Saccharomyces cerevisiae S288C: one gene and its partners. Changing the gene in region 1 together with any one later gene gives a genetic interaction. Each region holds a gene or a part of one and is shown in the gene's direction. Other genes may lie near its edges.

Region 1 (4,419 bases):
AACTGTATGATTGTGTTTACTATGTTCTTCATTTTTTCGTTCGCCACCACTTGGGCAGGCGGCTGTTACGTTATTGTCTCAGAGACGTTTCCTCTTAGGGTCAAATCAAGAGGAATGGCAATCGCAACAGCTGCAAACTGGATGTGGGGTTTCCTGATTAGTTTCTTTACCCCATTCATTACCGGGGCAATCAACTTTTACTACGGTTATGTATTCTTAGGCTGTCTGGTTTTTGCATACTTTTATGTCTTTTTCTTTGTCCCAGAAACAAAAGGCCTGACGCTGGAGGAGGTGAATACTATGTGGCTGGAAGGTGTGCCAGCATGGAAATCAGCCTCATGGGTGCCACCAGAAAGAAGAACCGCAGATTACGATGCTGACGCCATAGACCATGACGATAGACCAATCTACAAGAGGTTCTTTTCCAGCTAATCTTCCGGTTTTTAGTAACTGGAAAAAAATACATGAACTTAATTATTTATTATATACAATATTTACTTTTTTACGCCTTAATCCTTAACGGACTATTTGTTATGCCTTATAGAACTAGAAATTATATGATAAACATGAGCTACACGAGTTGACAGGGTGAACAGATTACTATAGCATCTTTCTCTCATGAATAATTTTTAAAATGTATAAATTTTGTAACGTTCCGAAGGGTGGAGTGAAATTCCATTCAAGAAACCAAGCATTGAGACAGAACAGTACAGAGTTCAGTTGTTGCGGACCGAGAATTGTAACAAGTAGCCCCAGAAACATTCATATGACGTCTGTTTCAAATTAAGCTTAGTAAAAGTACACATTTACCATAAAAAAATAGTACCAAGTCGGTGGCCTGATATCCTTATTTTCCTTCTGCCAATTGGGCAAGTTGGTACTAATATTTTAGGTGACACTGCCACTTTATTGTTATGGATTGAAATTTCTTAAATGTTCTCACAATCGGCCATAACGCTATTTCTCCGACGTAACCTCCTGTCATAGTGTGCCGTGCCTGAATAACTTAAAAAATTAAAGTTTTCAATGTGCCCAAAAAAATTCACAAATAGTACGCGCTCGTTAAACACCCTGTGACGCTGGGCCAGGCACTATTTAGCATTACTTCGAAAAGACGCAAGTATAAAGAGTGAGATCTCACGTACTACAACAAGAACATAGAGAAGCATTCTAATAAGCATATAAACAAGGCTTCTAGAGAAAAATGGGCGTATTAGAAAATATAGTACCTGGTGAGCTTTATGATGCGAACTATGATCCAGATCTTTTGAAAATTAGAAAAGAGACTAAAATAAAATTGCACGAATACAACACCCTTAGCCCCGCTGATGAGAATAAAAAGAGCCAGGTAATAAGAGAATTACTTGGTAGTTGCACTGATAACTTTATAATTGAACCGCCGTTTTACTGTGATTACGGAAGTAACATCTATATCGGAGACAACTTTTACGCCAATCACAATCTTGTTATATTGGATGGGGCCAAGGTAGTCATCGGTGACAACGTATTTATCGCCCCTAATGTTGGTATTTATACGGCAGGTCATCCAATTGACGTGGAAAGACGGCTTCAAGGATTAGAATATGCCATGCCTGTGACCATTGGAGACAATGTATGGATTGGAGGTGGAGTGTCAATAATTCCTGGAGTAAATATAGGTAAAAACTCCGTGATTGCCGCCGGTAGTGTTGTGATTCGTGACATACCAGAAAATGTAGTGGCAGCAGGTAATCCTTGTAAGGTGATAAGAAAGATCACTGAAAAAGATAGTACAACTACAAACTATCGAAAATGATGGATCCACTTTCTGGAGGAATTATCGAAAGCAAGTGTTGTCTTCTATGATTATGTACCGTATTTTCTTATAAGAATAAATAAAAAGCTAGTTCAGTTTTAGTCGACTAAATACGCAGAGAGATTATTAATTATTGGTATATGTTCTGGTTTAAGTTGCTCATTCTCAACTCGACTGTGTATAGTAGCTTCTTTCTGGTATAATCTATCTTCGAGGAGAAAATTATAGTTTACAACTTATGTAAAACTGCTCAAGTTCCAACCGTATAGAAAACGCGTGGCTGGTAGCTTTATGTTCGGATTTGAGAAATTTTCGGGGAAATAAGTACCGTTCTAATTTTTCAGCGCAAATTAACATGCGGAGAAACTTTAAACTGAAAATATGGCCACCTGCATGCGTCCATATGAAAGGGTCATCAAATAGCCTCGAACAAAACAAGTAACATTTTCGATGGAGTTAGAAAGGGATGATCCTATACGCACAGATTTCCTAGGTATTTAACCTGACCTAATATTAACAAAAGTCCAAGTGACGGCTTCTCCATCAAACAAGATAAATTACCAAACACAATGGTCGAATCTAAGAATACTGAATTATCGCAAGGAACATGGCTCAATAAGCCAAAATCTGTTTTTCAAGAGGCAGGAAAAGTCACTCTGGAAACAGATGAAAAAACTGACTTTTGGCGTGAAACATTTTACGGATTTACCCGTGATAGCGGTCATTTTTTGGGAGTAGAGACAGGTAGTGCTTTTACTGCACAAGTCCGTGTTCAGGGAAGCTACGAGAGTCTTTATGATCAGGCTGGTATCATGGTTCGTATAGATGATGGACATTGGCTCAAAGCTGGCATAGAAATTTCTGATGGCCACGCAATGCTAAGCAGTGTTTTGACAAATGGAAAATCAGATTGGTCAACTGCTGTTTATGGCGGAAATGCTCGCGATTTCTGGCTTCGTGTTACTGTTGAAAAGGGCGTTTTGAGGATTCAGGTGTCCTCTGATAAAAAAACATGGCCGTTAGTACGTTTGGCTCCATTTCCAACTTCTGACCATTACCTTGTTGGACCAATGGCTTGCACACCTGAGCGTGGCGGATTGAAAGTTACTTTCTCGGAATGGAGTCTCACAGCTCCTTTAGGAAAAGCTTTACATGATTTGAGTTAGTTCACCTATATATCAATATATAAAGAGGGGTTTGCTTTTGTTAAGAACAAGGCCTGCACCTCACTAAGATCTGTTGATTTGGCACTATGCTTTTTAAAATTTTGTTTATACTCAATTTCGTCAAGATTTTTTTTACTAGTACAATCCATACAGTTAACAAAATACTGGGCAATAAGGCGTGCATACTACGAAATTTTTAGTTTTGTTATAATAAACGACTTTTAGCTAGTGTTTTAAGATAAAGTGACGAAAGTTAGGGTGAGAATAGTCGAATGTATTTACTAATTATTGAATTCGTGGTAATTAGTACTTATGATGATGGGGTTTAAAGGGCTAAATTTAGACAATAGAAACAGTAATAATGATGTTTTCTATTTTTCTGCTGTACGTTGCTTTTTATTTTATATTTCTTCGGAAAAAGGTTCAGTGAATTTTCTGTCTTCTATATACATATATAAATTGCAATTGAAAATAGCGTACAGCGTAAGTTAAGTATCCAATGCTCACATATGAAAAGCAAAAGTAAAAAGAAATATACAAGTTTATTATTCATAAATATCGGCATAACTATTTGTTTCGAAAGATCAGTACGTTTATGTTAAATGTGCTCGTTACTTCAACAAGTAAAGTCTTCCTTCCCATGGCTGCAAGGTGCGGGAATCACCATTTGAGTTTGCATAGTTGCCAAAAAACATGGTGTAGGAGGCCTCATTATCAGGAACTGAAAAGTCCGTATTATCGCTACTGAAATTGAAAACAGCAAACATTTTTTTGTTATCTGTGTCCTTTGTAAACATGAATAGCTTGTCATTATCAAGATCAATGAACTGAAAGTTATGTCCATAAACAAGGATATCTTTGTGCTCCTTTCTAACTTGTAAGGCCTTTTTCCAGAAAAAGAAGACTGAGTTTTTATCTTTTAACTCAGCTTCTGCGTTGATTCCGTCTCTAAATGATTCATTCATGTCAATCCATGGTTTGGCATCCTTCGAGAAACCTGCAGAAGGCTCATCAGCACTCCATGGGAATGGTGTTCTCCCATGATCTCTAGAGATCAAAGCTAATGCTTCAAAAAACTTTTTCATCTTTTCAGAATCTTCACCATAATCACGTTTAATGGCGGCATATGTACCAGTACCTTCAACGCATTTGATTTGCTCAATTTTTCTGTTTTTGAAGTTGGGCATACCCAATTCTTGTCCTTGGTAGATAAAAACAGTACCAGTCAATGAAATGATGAGAGTAGCCAACATCTTGGACGAAATCTCACGCCATTTAGGAGAATCTGAGCCAAAACGCGAAACGCTACGAGGTTGATCATGATTCTCCAAATAGATGGTCGACCAGCAATCTGTGTTTTCGATAAACAGAAAGCTTTCAGCAAGAGCCAGCTTAAAGTCTTTTAAAGTAAAGGGAATAAGTTCGTACTTGCATTTTGGGTTTTCACCTACTGAGGTG
Region 2 (4,005 bases), on another chromosome or scaffold:
CAGAGTAGTCATTCTGTAGGTGATACCATGTGCTAAATGTAGTGGTCGGATCGGCTAGAAGTTCAGACTGGGTGCCGCTTTCAACAACTTCACCTTCCTTCATTAAATATAAATAGTCATCAGATTCAATTTGGCTCAACTCATGCGTCAATATGATTGTAGTCTTTCCTTTCCTCCAATGCCTAATTGCCTTCATCAACAGGTTGCGATGAACAATATCTAGAGCCGATACAGCTTCGTCTAAGAATAATATTGGAGTATCTCTGATGAATGCACGTGCTATAGCAACTCTTTGTTGTTGCCCGCCACTTAGTGTGACACCCCCAGTCCCAATTAATGTTTCCAGTCCATCGGGAAGGTCTAGAATAAATCTATCCAGAAGAGCCATTTGACAGGCATCTTTGATTAAATGTCTATTTTCATTGGTGCTGCAATCGGCATTTCTTACCGAATCTGTTGAACCTAAAAGAATATTTTTTCTAAGAGTATCATTAAATAGGGTACAACGCTGTTCTACGACGGTGATATTTTCAATTAGCAATTTTTGGTCGATTGTTTGGATATTGTGGCCATTGATAGATATCGATCCATTATAGCCATCGTAGAACCTTAATAATAAGTTGGATAATGTAGATTTACCTGAGCCTGATTTTCCTACTATGAAAGTAAATTGTCCTGCAGAGAAATTTAAACTAACGTTCTTTAAAACTGCTTCCGAAGGTCTGCTTGGATAAGAAAACGAAACATTAGCAAATGTTAGATCACTGGTGGCATAATCTAGTGGAAATTGGTGGGCTACAGTTTTATTTAAAGGATTTCGCTTGGATCCATCTTTTAATAGAGTCATGATTTTTTCCATAGCCACTCCGCCTTTTTGAAGAACAACTATTTGGTGTAATGTATTATTTAAAGTCGAGCCCAGCATAATGCATGAATGGAAGCAAGTGATTACATCGTTAATGTTCAGCTTGCCCTTTTTGATCATTGCGGAACCAAACCAGAATCCCTGTACAAACATAGTCAACGTCAAAAATCTCAAGATCCCAGCGTTTGCAGCAACAAAAAAGCAACTCTTGATGAAGAAAGTGTTACAATTTAGTATGATTTCCTTGAATTTTTTCCTTTCTAGACGTTGTGTACAATATAATCTCACTAATTGAGCGGCATTCATCGACCATGTAAGTAATTGGGCTGCTTTACTCGTTTCAGAATTCTCCTTCTCTGAATATACATGAATCATTCTGGAAAACACCACTGCAAAAAATGTGATTATTGGAGAGCTGCAAAGAATAATTAAAGTTAATGACCAAGAATAGTAGAATGACGTCCCCAGAAGCGCACATATTGCAACTAAATTCTGGAAAGTTATGGCTGATGCCTCTGCGGAGCTTGATCTTAGCTCTTCCACACATCTGTTGATTTGAGTAAAATCTCCTAACAATTTTTCATTATTGTCGTACCATTCCATTGGCTTTTCCTCCAAATATGCCTCCAATATCTGTGACCGTATTCTAAAGCCTTGTCTCTCGCCGATGTGCATCCAACTTGTTAGAGAAAGCCACATTACTGGCACAGAAGCCGCACCAAGTGCCATTACTGCCATTGACCTCTGTACTAGTTGGGAATACAAACCTTGATGTGACCCATTAGCCACGAAAACTGATAGTAGATCGAACACTCTGCCCGTCAGGATAGAAGTAATTGCCGGCACTAGGCCTGTTGCCACGGTACCTATTATCATTATCATTAACAGCCTGTAGTCATTCCGTATGTTCACGTACCTGAAAATGTGATAGTGTTTTGTAGTCTTAAAACTTAAAAAGTTCATGACGTAGCTTGTTCTTTGTTTCCTAGTGGAATTTTCAGCGGCACTTGAAAGCTCTCTGTGTGAACGTAACAACGGGAGATAGTTCAGCCATATCCAGGTTTATAAGCTCTGGTATTTAAATGATGAACGGCAATAATGCAACAGTTTTCATATCTGAAACAATTGTATATGTGCGAAGCAGCGTGTAAATTTCCCTATTAGGTAATTACATGGCAAAAAAAATAAGAAACTATTTTCTTAAAGTACCTTTACCCTTTGTGGAAAACAATAAATTGTATAGTGGCAGAATAGAGAAAAGAAAAAGGAAAGGAACATATTTGTCAGTGCAAGGACCATCATTGTTTGAAAAAAGAGAGGATATTACTAGTAGGTAATAACAGCTATGTCGCGTTATATATATTATATATAAAAATTAAAAAATAGAAAATAAAATTTCAAATGCCCTCTGTGGGAATTGAACCCACGATCCCCGCATTACGAGTGCGATGCCTTACCACTTGGCCAAAAGGGCTGAGTAATTTTTATACCTGCTAAATTTGTGGCTCCGCTATACTTTACAGATTTATCTATTTTGAAGATGATACATTTAGCAAAAATGACCTTAAAAATGAAGCAGGTGCCATTTGCCTATAGCTTGGAAAAGTAGTAATGGTTATTCAAAAAGTTAGCAGCGAGATCTTTTTTCTATCGCGCGTTAAAACGTTTGAACAGATATATATTATTCAGCCACAACTATCTATATATAATATTTCTTCGATTTTTCGTTTTCTCAAGTTTCGTCTTATTGATTGATCAGAAGTTTACTGCGCTTTTGGGTAAAGAAGCATTAAACAAAGGAGAGAGAAATATTGCAAGGAAAAAATGGTGAGCTATGGAAGTCATAGTAGTGAGGTTTCGAAAGTTCTTAAAACGCCGAAGTTTGTGCTTAGGTATGGAAATGTATCCAGCAAACAACGTTTTGCCCTAAAGCGGAAGATAAATTACAAACTACGTGAAAGCAAATATCAAGAATACTTGAATGAATACAACACCTTCGTGCTTTACGACTGGGAAAACAGTGGCGCTGGTAGTCTTGTCGATTCTTCCTACAATCTCCCCTCTTTATGGAAGGAATTCATAACAGAGGGCATATCTAAAGGAGCAATAAACGACAAACTACCGACAGTCTTTATGAAGAGGAAGTTGACAAACTCAGCGTTGGGTCACTGTTTGGGACTTGATTTCCTGACTGATCCGAGCGAGTCAGAACATGAATACAGGTGCATGTTTCAGACAGTTCAGGACATCCCATCTCTCTCGCAACTGATCTTATTCAACAGCATGCCAAACGTTCCAGTAAGATTGAAATTGCATACCATTGGTATAAATATAAATTTCGGCTGCAAACGTTCCCTGATAAGCAACGGTGGTGATCAAGACACTGAAATGAGCGAAGCAGTCTCTTATATCCAGCCTTTATTGGAAGAATCCTCGAGAATGTACCGCAATTTAAACTACTGGAAGCTGTTAAAAATAGCACGAAATAACAAGAAGGATGAACCGTTGGATCAGAGCACGCGTATCAAGTCGCAAGTTAAGCTTTTACTGAGTCAATTGGCGACGAACCGAATTACCTCACCTTCCGTCACGGATCATGGGGGTCACAACTGGCTCATATTCACCAGAAGACGGTTGTAAACGATAAATATGCCATAAAGATCTGCGAACTGTACATATCCATATATAATGCGTATTATTTGGTGACTATAGCACTGGCTTCCGCCATCTCACTAAGAACGAAGAGGTATAATAAAGCATTGTGATGTTAAAGAATGACGATTAACCAGCATTTACAACAACTTCTCTTCAACAGAATAGACAAAACAACAAGCAGTATTCAACAAGCTAGGGCGCCGCAGATGTTATTAGATGACCAGCTGAAGTATTGGGTCCTGTTACCTATTTCGATTGTCATGGTTTTGACGGGTGTACTCAAACAGTACATCATGACACTTATAACGGGAAGCAGTGCAAATGAAGCACAACCAAGGGTAAAGTTAACTGAATGGCAATATCTACAATGGGCACAATTATTGATTGGAAACGGTGGGAACCTGTCTTCCGATGCATTTGCTGCGAAGAAGGAATTTCTAGTTAAGGATCTCACTGAGGAAAGGCACCTAGCCAAGGCCAAGCAG
Region 3 (4,473 bases), on another chromosome or scaffold:
CAAAAACCTCTCTATCATATTTATTATTTATGAGCAAAACTTTTTTCGTATTATTAGATTCCAAAATTACTTCAGCAAGATTACCAAGAATAAGGATTGGGAGTAAACTTGTCATTAAAGAACCGATAGAATAAACGACCATGTCAGCTTTTTTCACCTTGGAAATAGCTCTTGGATTTCCCATTGGTTTTATCTCTTCGCCATATGGGTTTATATACAATATCCTATGTACCGGAGCAGGTAGATTCTGTGATTCATCAAGCTTGTCAAAATGCAACTGGGAGTTTTTCAGTTCTGGAAGAATATAGATAGGATTGGCATACTCCTCTTCCGCTTCTTCTTCCTCATCGTCGAGGAGAATTTTCAAATGGTCGTCATAAGAGCCAAGTAAATGAATAAATTTAGCTGAATGTGCTATGCTATTATCTTTAGGAACAGATTTCGAGGGATGCGATATTTGTGATTGGCCAGTTATCATCTCACCATTCGTCAACAAAGCCGAGATATGATGTGTGTGATTGGTATTTATACATGGAATAACATGAACTAGAGGACTGCACCTTCCTATCCTCATCATTAGTTCAATAGATGCGTCTAGAGAACCTAAAAACAATCTAGCACCAGTTAAGAAAAAATTTCCAATGGATGCACTCTCAAACTGAAATGGATTCGAGTGTTTGATTTTTTTCAAGAGTTCTGCTTGCATATGGATAATAAAAGAACGACACATTTCCTTAACTTCTATCGAAATATTTTTCCATATGGGATGCGAACCTTCCACTATTTCATTCCATTCTTTCTTAGCTAATAACTTATCATTAGGTAGCCTATGGCCAAACAACTCGACAAGCTGTTCATCTTGAAGTAGTCTCACTATTCTAGATCTGATATCACCAATTGCTGGGCCACCAACTATTCGTAGAATTTCACTTGTGGACCCGCCATTATCTGATATTGGCAATATATACGTCAGCTCATGTCCTTTTAAGATAGAAATATTAGAAAAGCAAGGAGTCAATGAATTTGTGGCAGTCCCACCGGAGCACACAACGACGTTCATCTAGTAAACTATCTCACCACACTCTGCTATTTTGTCCCCTTATTACCTCGAGGGAACAAAAGATTCCGTTTCCTCTCTTTCATAGTCCGCCTAAATAGCTTAAGAAATAAACCCAAACATCACACATTAGCGTTCTTTAGGAAATACGAAACAGGTTAATACAACAGTAGTAACTTTCCACATAATATCTAAGCATTACACGCTGAAAAAAACTCTTTATTGGATATCAACAACCCAACACATTGTACGACATATTCTTTTATCGTTCTACTATGGTACCCTGTTCAAATCTCTTTTTCTAAAATGAGCGAAATTTTCGAAAATTATCGCATAATTTTTCATCATCTTAAATTAAAAAAATACAGTGTCCTCTATTGTTTATCTCAACAGAACGCACACATTCTTGAAACTTGCTCACATAACATAAGCTGGAGTGACATAGCATTTATATATATACAAGGGAAATGGTCAAAGCTGTTATTTTTACCGATTTCGACGGTACCGTTACTTTGGAAGATTCTAACGATTATCTGACCGATACTTTAGGTTTCGGTAAGGAAAAAAGATTAAAGGTCTTCGAAGGCGTGTTAGATGATACTAAGTCTTTTAGGCAAGGTTTCATGGAAATGCTGGAATCCATCCACACCCCTTTCCCTGAGTGTATCAAGATCTTAGAAAAGAAAATTCGATTGGATCCTGGTTTCAAGGATACATTCGAATGGGCTCAAGAAAATGATGTCCCTGTCATCGTTGTTTCCAGCGGAATGAAACCAATTATCAAGGTTTTATTGACCAGATTAGTTGGACAAGAGTCTATTCACAAAATTGACATTGTTTCCAATGAAGTGGAAATCGATGCACATGATCAATGGAAAATCATCTATAAGGATGAAAGTCCCTTCGGACATGACAAATCCAGAAGTATCGATGCTTATAAAAAGAAATTTGAATCTACCTTGAAAGCAGGTGAACAAAGACCCGTTTACTTTTACTGTGGTGACGGTGTTTCTGATCTAAGTGCTGCAAAAGAATGTGATTTGCTATTTGCCAAAAGAGGTAAAGATTTGGTCACTTATTGTAAAAAACAAAACGTCCCATTCCATGAATTCGATACCTTCAAAGACATCTTGGCTAGCATGAAACAAGTTCTGGCTGGTGAAAAGACAGTCGCTGAATTGATGGAAAATTAGTGCAAGACTCTTACGAAATATTAAAGTTTAATACCGTGTAACTGCCTCTTACATATGTATGCATATATACGTACGTACTATATTTTTCTTGTATATCTTTTTTATTGTCTGAGAGAAAGAACATCAAAAAATAAAGGAAGATCCTCCTCGGATTTAGCATGCTTAATGCCGAATCTTTAATACAAAACGAATGATATTTCAAGTATACTAATTAGAAATCAATCAAACATACCAAAAGGGACAGTAAAGAGAAAAGCAGGAGCTCTCTTTTAGGGGAAAAGTAAAATGTGATTAGTATTTCGTTGCGTGTACTAGTCAACTCTTCTTGTCATTCTTAAATTTACATTAATTACCCCAATTTTGCATCTTCGTATATAAGAGTGTTCCCCTTATAAGCTTTCTCCTGCACATACCTGCAGTAAACACAAGCAACACTTTAGAGATAGTTGTCCAAGTTAAAATGAGTAAAATTAAAGTTGTTCATCCCATCGTGGAAATGGACGGTGATGAGCAGACAAGAGTTATTTGGAAACTTATCAAAGAAAAATTGATATTGCCATATTTAGATGTGGATTTAAAATACTATGACCTTTCAATCCAAGAGCGTGATAGGACTAATGATCAAGTAACAAAGGATTCTTCTTATGCTACCCTAAAATATGGGGTTGCTGTCAAATGTGCCACTATAACACCCGATGAGGCAAGAATGAAAGAATTTAACCTTAAAGAAATGTGGAAATCTCCAAATGGAACAATCAGAAACATCCTAGGTGGAACTGTATTTAGAGAACCCATCATTATTCCAAAAATACCTCGTCTAGTCCCTCACTGGGAGAAACCTATAATTATAGGCCGTCATGCTTTTGGTGACCAATATAGGGCTACTGACATCAAGATTAAAAAAGCAGGCAAACTAAGGTTACAGTTTAGCTCAGATGACGGTAAAGAAAACATCGATTTAAAGGTTTATGAATTTCCTAAAAGTGGTGGGATCGCAATGGCAATGTTTAATACAAATGATTCCATTAAAGGGTTCGCAAAGGCATCCTTCGAATTAGCTCTCAAAAGAAAACTACCGTTATTCTTTACAACCAAAAACACTATTCTGAAAAATTATGATAATCAGTTCAAACAAATTTTCGATAATTTGTTCGATAAAGAATATAAGGAAAAGTTTCAGGCTTTAAAAATAACGTACGAGCATCGTTTGATTGATGATATGGTAGCACAGATGCTAAAATCAAAGGGCGGGTTTATAATCGCCATGAAGAATTATGATGGCGATGTCCAGTCTGACATTGTGGCACAAGGATTTGGGTCTCTTGGTTTAATGACGTCCATATTGATTACACCTGATGGTAAAACGTTTGAAAGCGAGGCTGCCCATGGTACGGTGACCAGACATTTTAGAAAACATCAAAGAGGCGAAGAAACATCAACAAATTCAATAGCCTCAATATTTGCCTGGACAAGGGCAATTATACAAAGAGGAAAATTAGACAATACAGATGATGTTATAAAATTTGGAAACTTACTAGAAAAGGCTACTTTGGACACAGTTCAAGTGGGCGGAAAAATGACCAAGGATTTAGCATTGATGCTTGGAAAGACTAATAGATCATCATATGTAACCACAGAAGAGTTTATTGATGAAGTTGCCAAGAGGCTTCAAAACATGATGCTCAGCTCCAATGAAGACAAGAAAGGTATGTGCAAACTATAAACCAATCCGCCATTCATTTGAAAAGACAAGTCTGGCCTAGGGTTATAGTGTTCAGACTTGAGGTTGAACATATCCAAAAAAAAAAATTCCTATGATGTCTTAAATACGTATACCTAATAAAATAATTCTAGACTATATTCAACTTACTGTAACCCTTCACCTCACTATCACAGCTGACGCATGTAGCAAATCCTTTATAACCCAGAGATATCCTACAATCATCGCATAATGCAAGGCATCTACAGGGCCAAGTTACAATATTTCTTTTATTAACTTTGCAGATTAGGCAGGAGAGATCCATTTCCTCCACTTCGTCGCAACTATCAAAGGCAAAATCAAACTTGAACTCTAATTTGTCATCGTCCTTCATATTTAAACGTTTGTACATATACCTGGAGTTTGTATGATGCAGAAGGCGTTCAATAACAACATCGACTAGTACACCTTGTGGGTTTCTTTTACCATATTGTGATCTAGTCAACGGTCCATTAACCTTATTA

What was found. A genetic interaction does not mean that the proteins touch.
Region 2: mutations in REE1 (region 1) and CBT1 together harm fitness more than expected from each alone (negative genetic interaction), as found in Saccharomyces cerevisiae (2 studies listed by BioGRID).
Region 3: mutations in REE1 (region 1) and IDP3 together harm fitness more than expected from each alone (negative genetic interaction), as found in Saccharomyces cerevisiae (2 studies listed by BioGRID).

What each region holds. Positions count from the first base shown.
Region 1 is NC_001142.9:20,769-25,187, forward strand, and holds REE1 (Ree1p), read left to right. Parts: upstream 1-2,364; coding exon 2,365-2,961; downstream 2,962-4,419. Other genes in the region: hexose transporter HXT9, read left to right, coding at 1-432; YJL218W (acetyltransferase), read left to right, coding at 1,205-1,795; oligo-1,6-glucosidase IMA5, read right to left, coding at 3,573-4,419. UniProt on the Saccharomyces cerevisiae protein: Functions in the galactose metabolic pathway via the GAL83 protein and that it may control the level of ENO1.
Region 2 is NC_001143.9:44,468-48,472, forward strand, and holds CBT1 (Cbt1p), read left to right. Parts: upstream 1-2,689; coding exon 2,690-3,505; downstream 3,506-4,005. Other genes in the region: ATP-binding cassette a-factor transporter STE6, read right to left, coding at 1-1,828; ER membrane complex subunit EMC3, read left to right, coding at 3,727-4,005. UniProt on the Saccharomyces cerevisiae protein: Involved in 5'-end processing of mitochondrial COB, 15S rRNA, and RPM1 transcript. May also have a role in 3'-end processing of the COB pre-mRNA.
Region 3 is NC_001146.8:612,111-616,583, forward strand, and holds IDP3 (isocitrate dehydrogenase (NADP(+)) IDP3), read left to right. Parts: upstream 1-2,710; coding exon 2,711-3,973; downstream 3,974-4,473. Other genes in the region: YNL011C (uncharacterized protein), read right to left, coding at 1-1,060; PYP1 (putative phosphoric monoester hydrolase), read left to right, coding at 1,525-2,250; putative ubiquitin-protein ligase ASI3, read right to left, coding at 4,101-4,473. UniProt on the Saccharomyces cerevisiae protein: May function in the production of NADPH for fatty acid and sterol synthesis.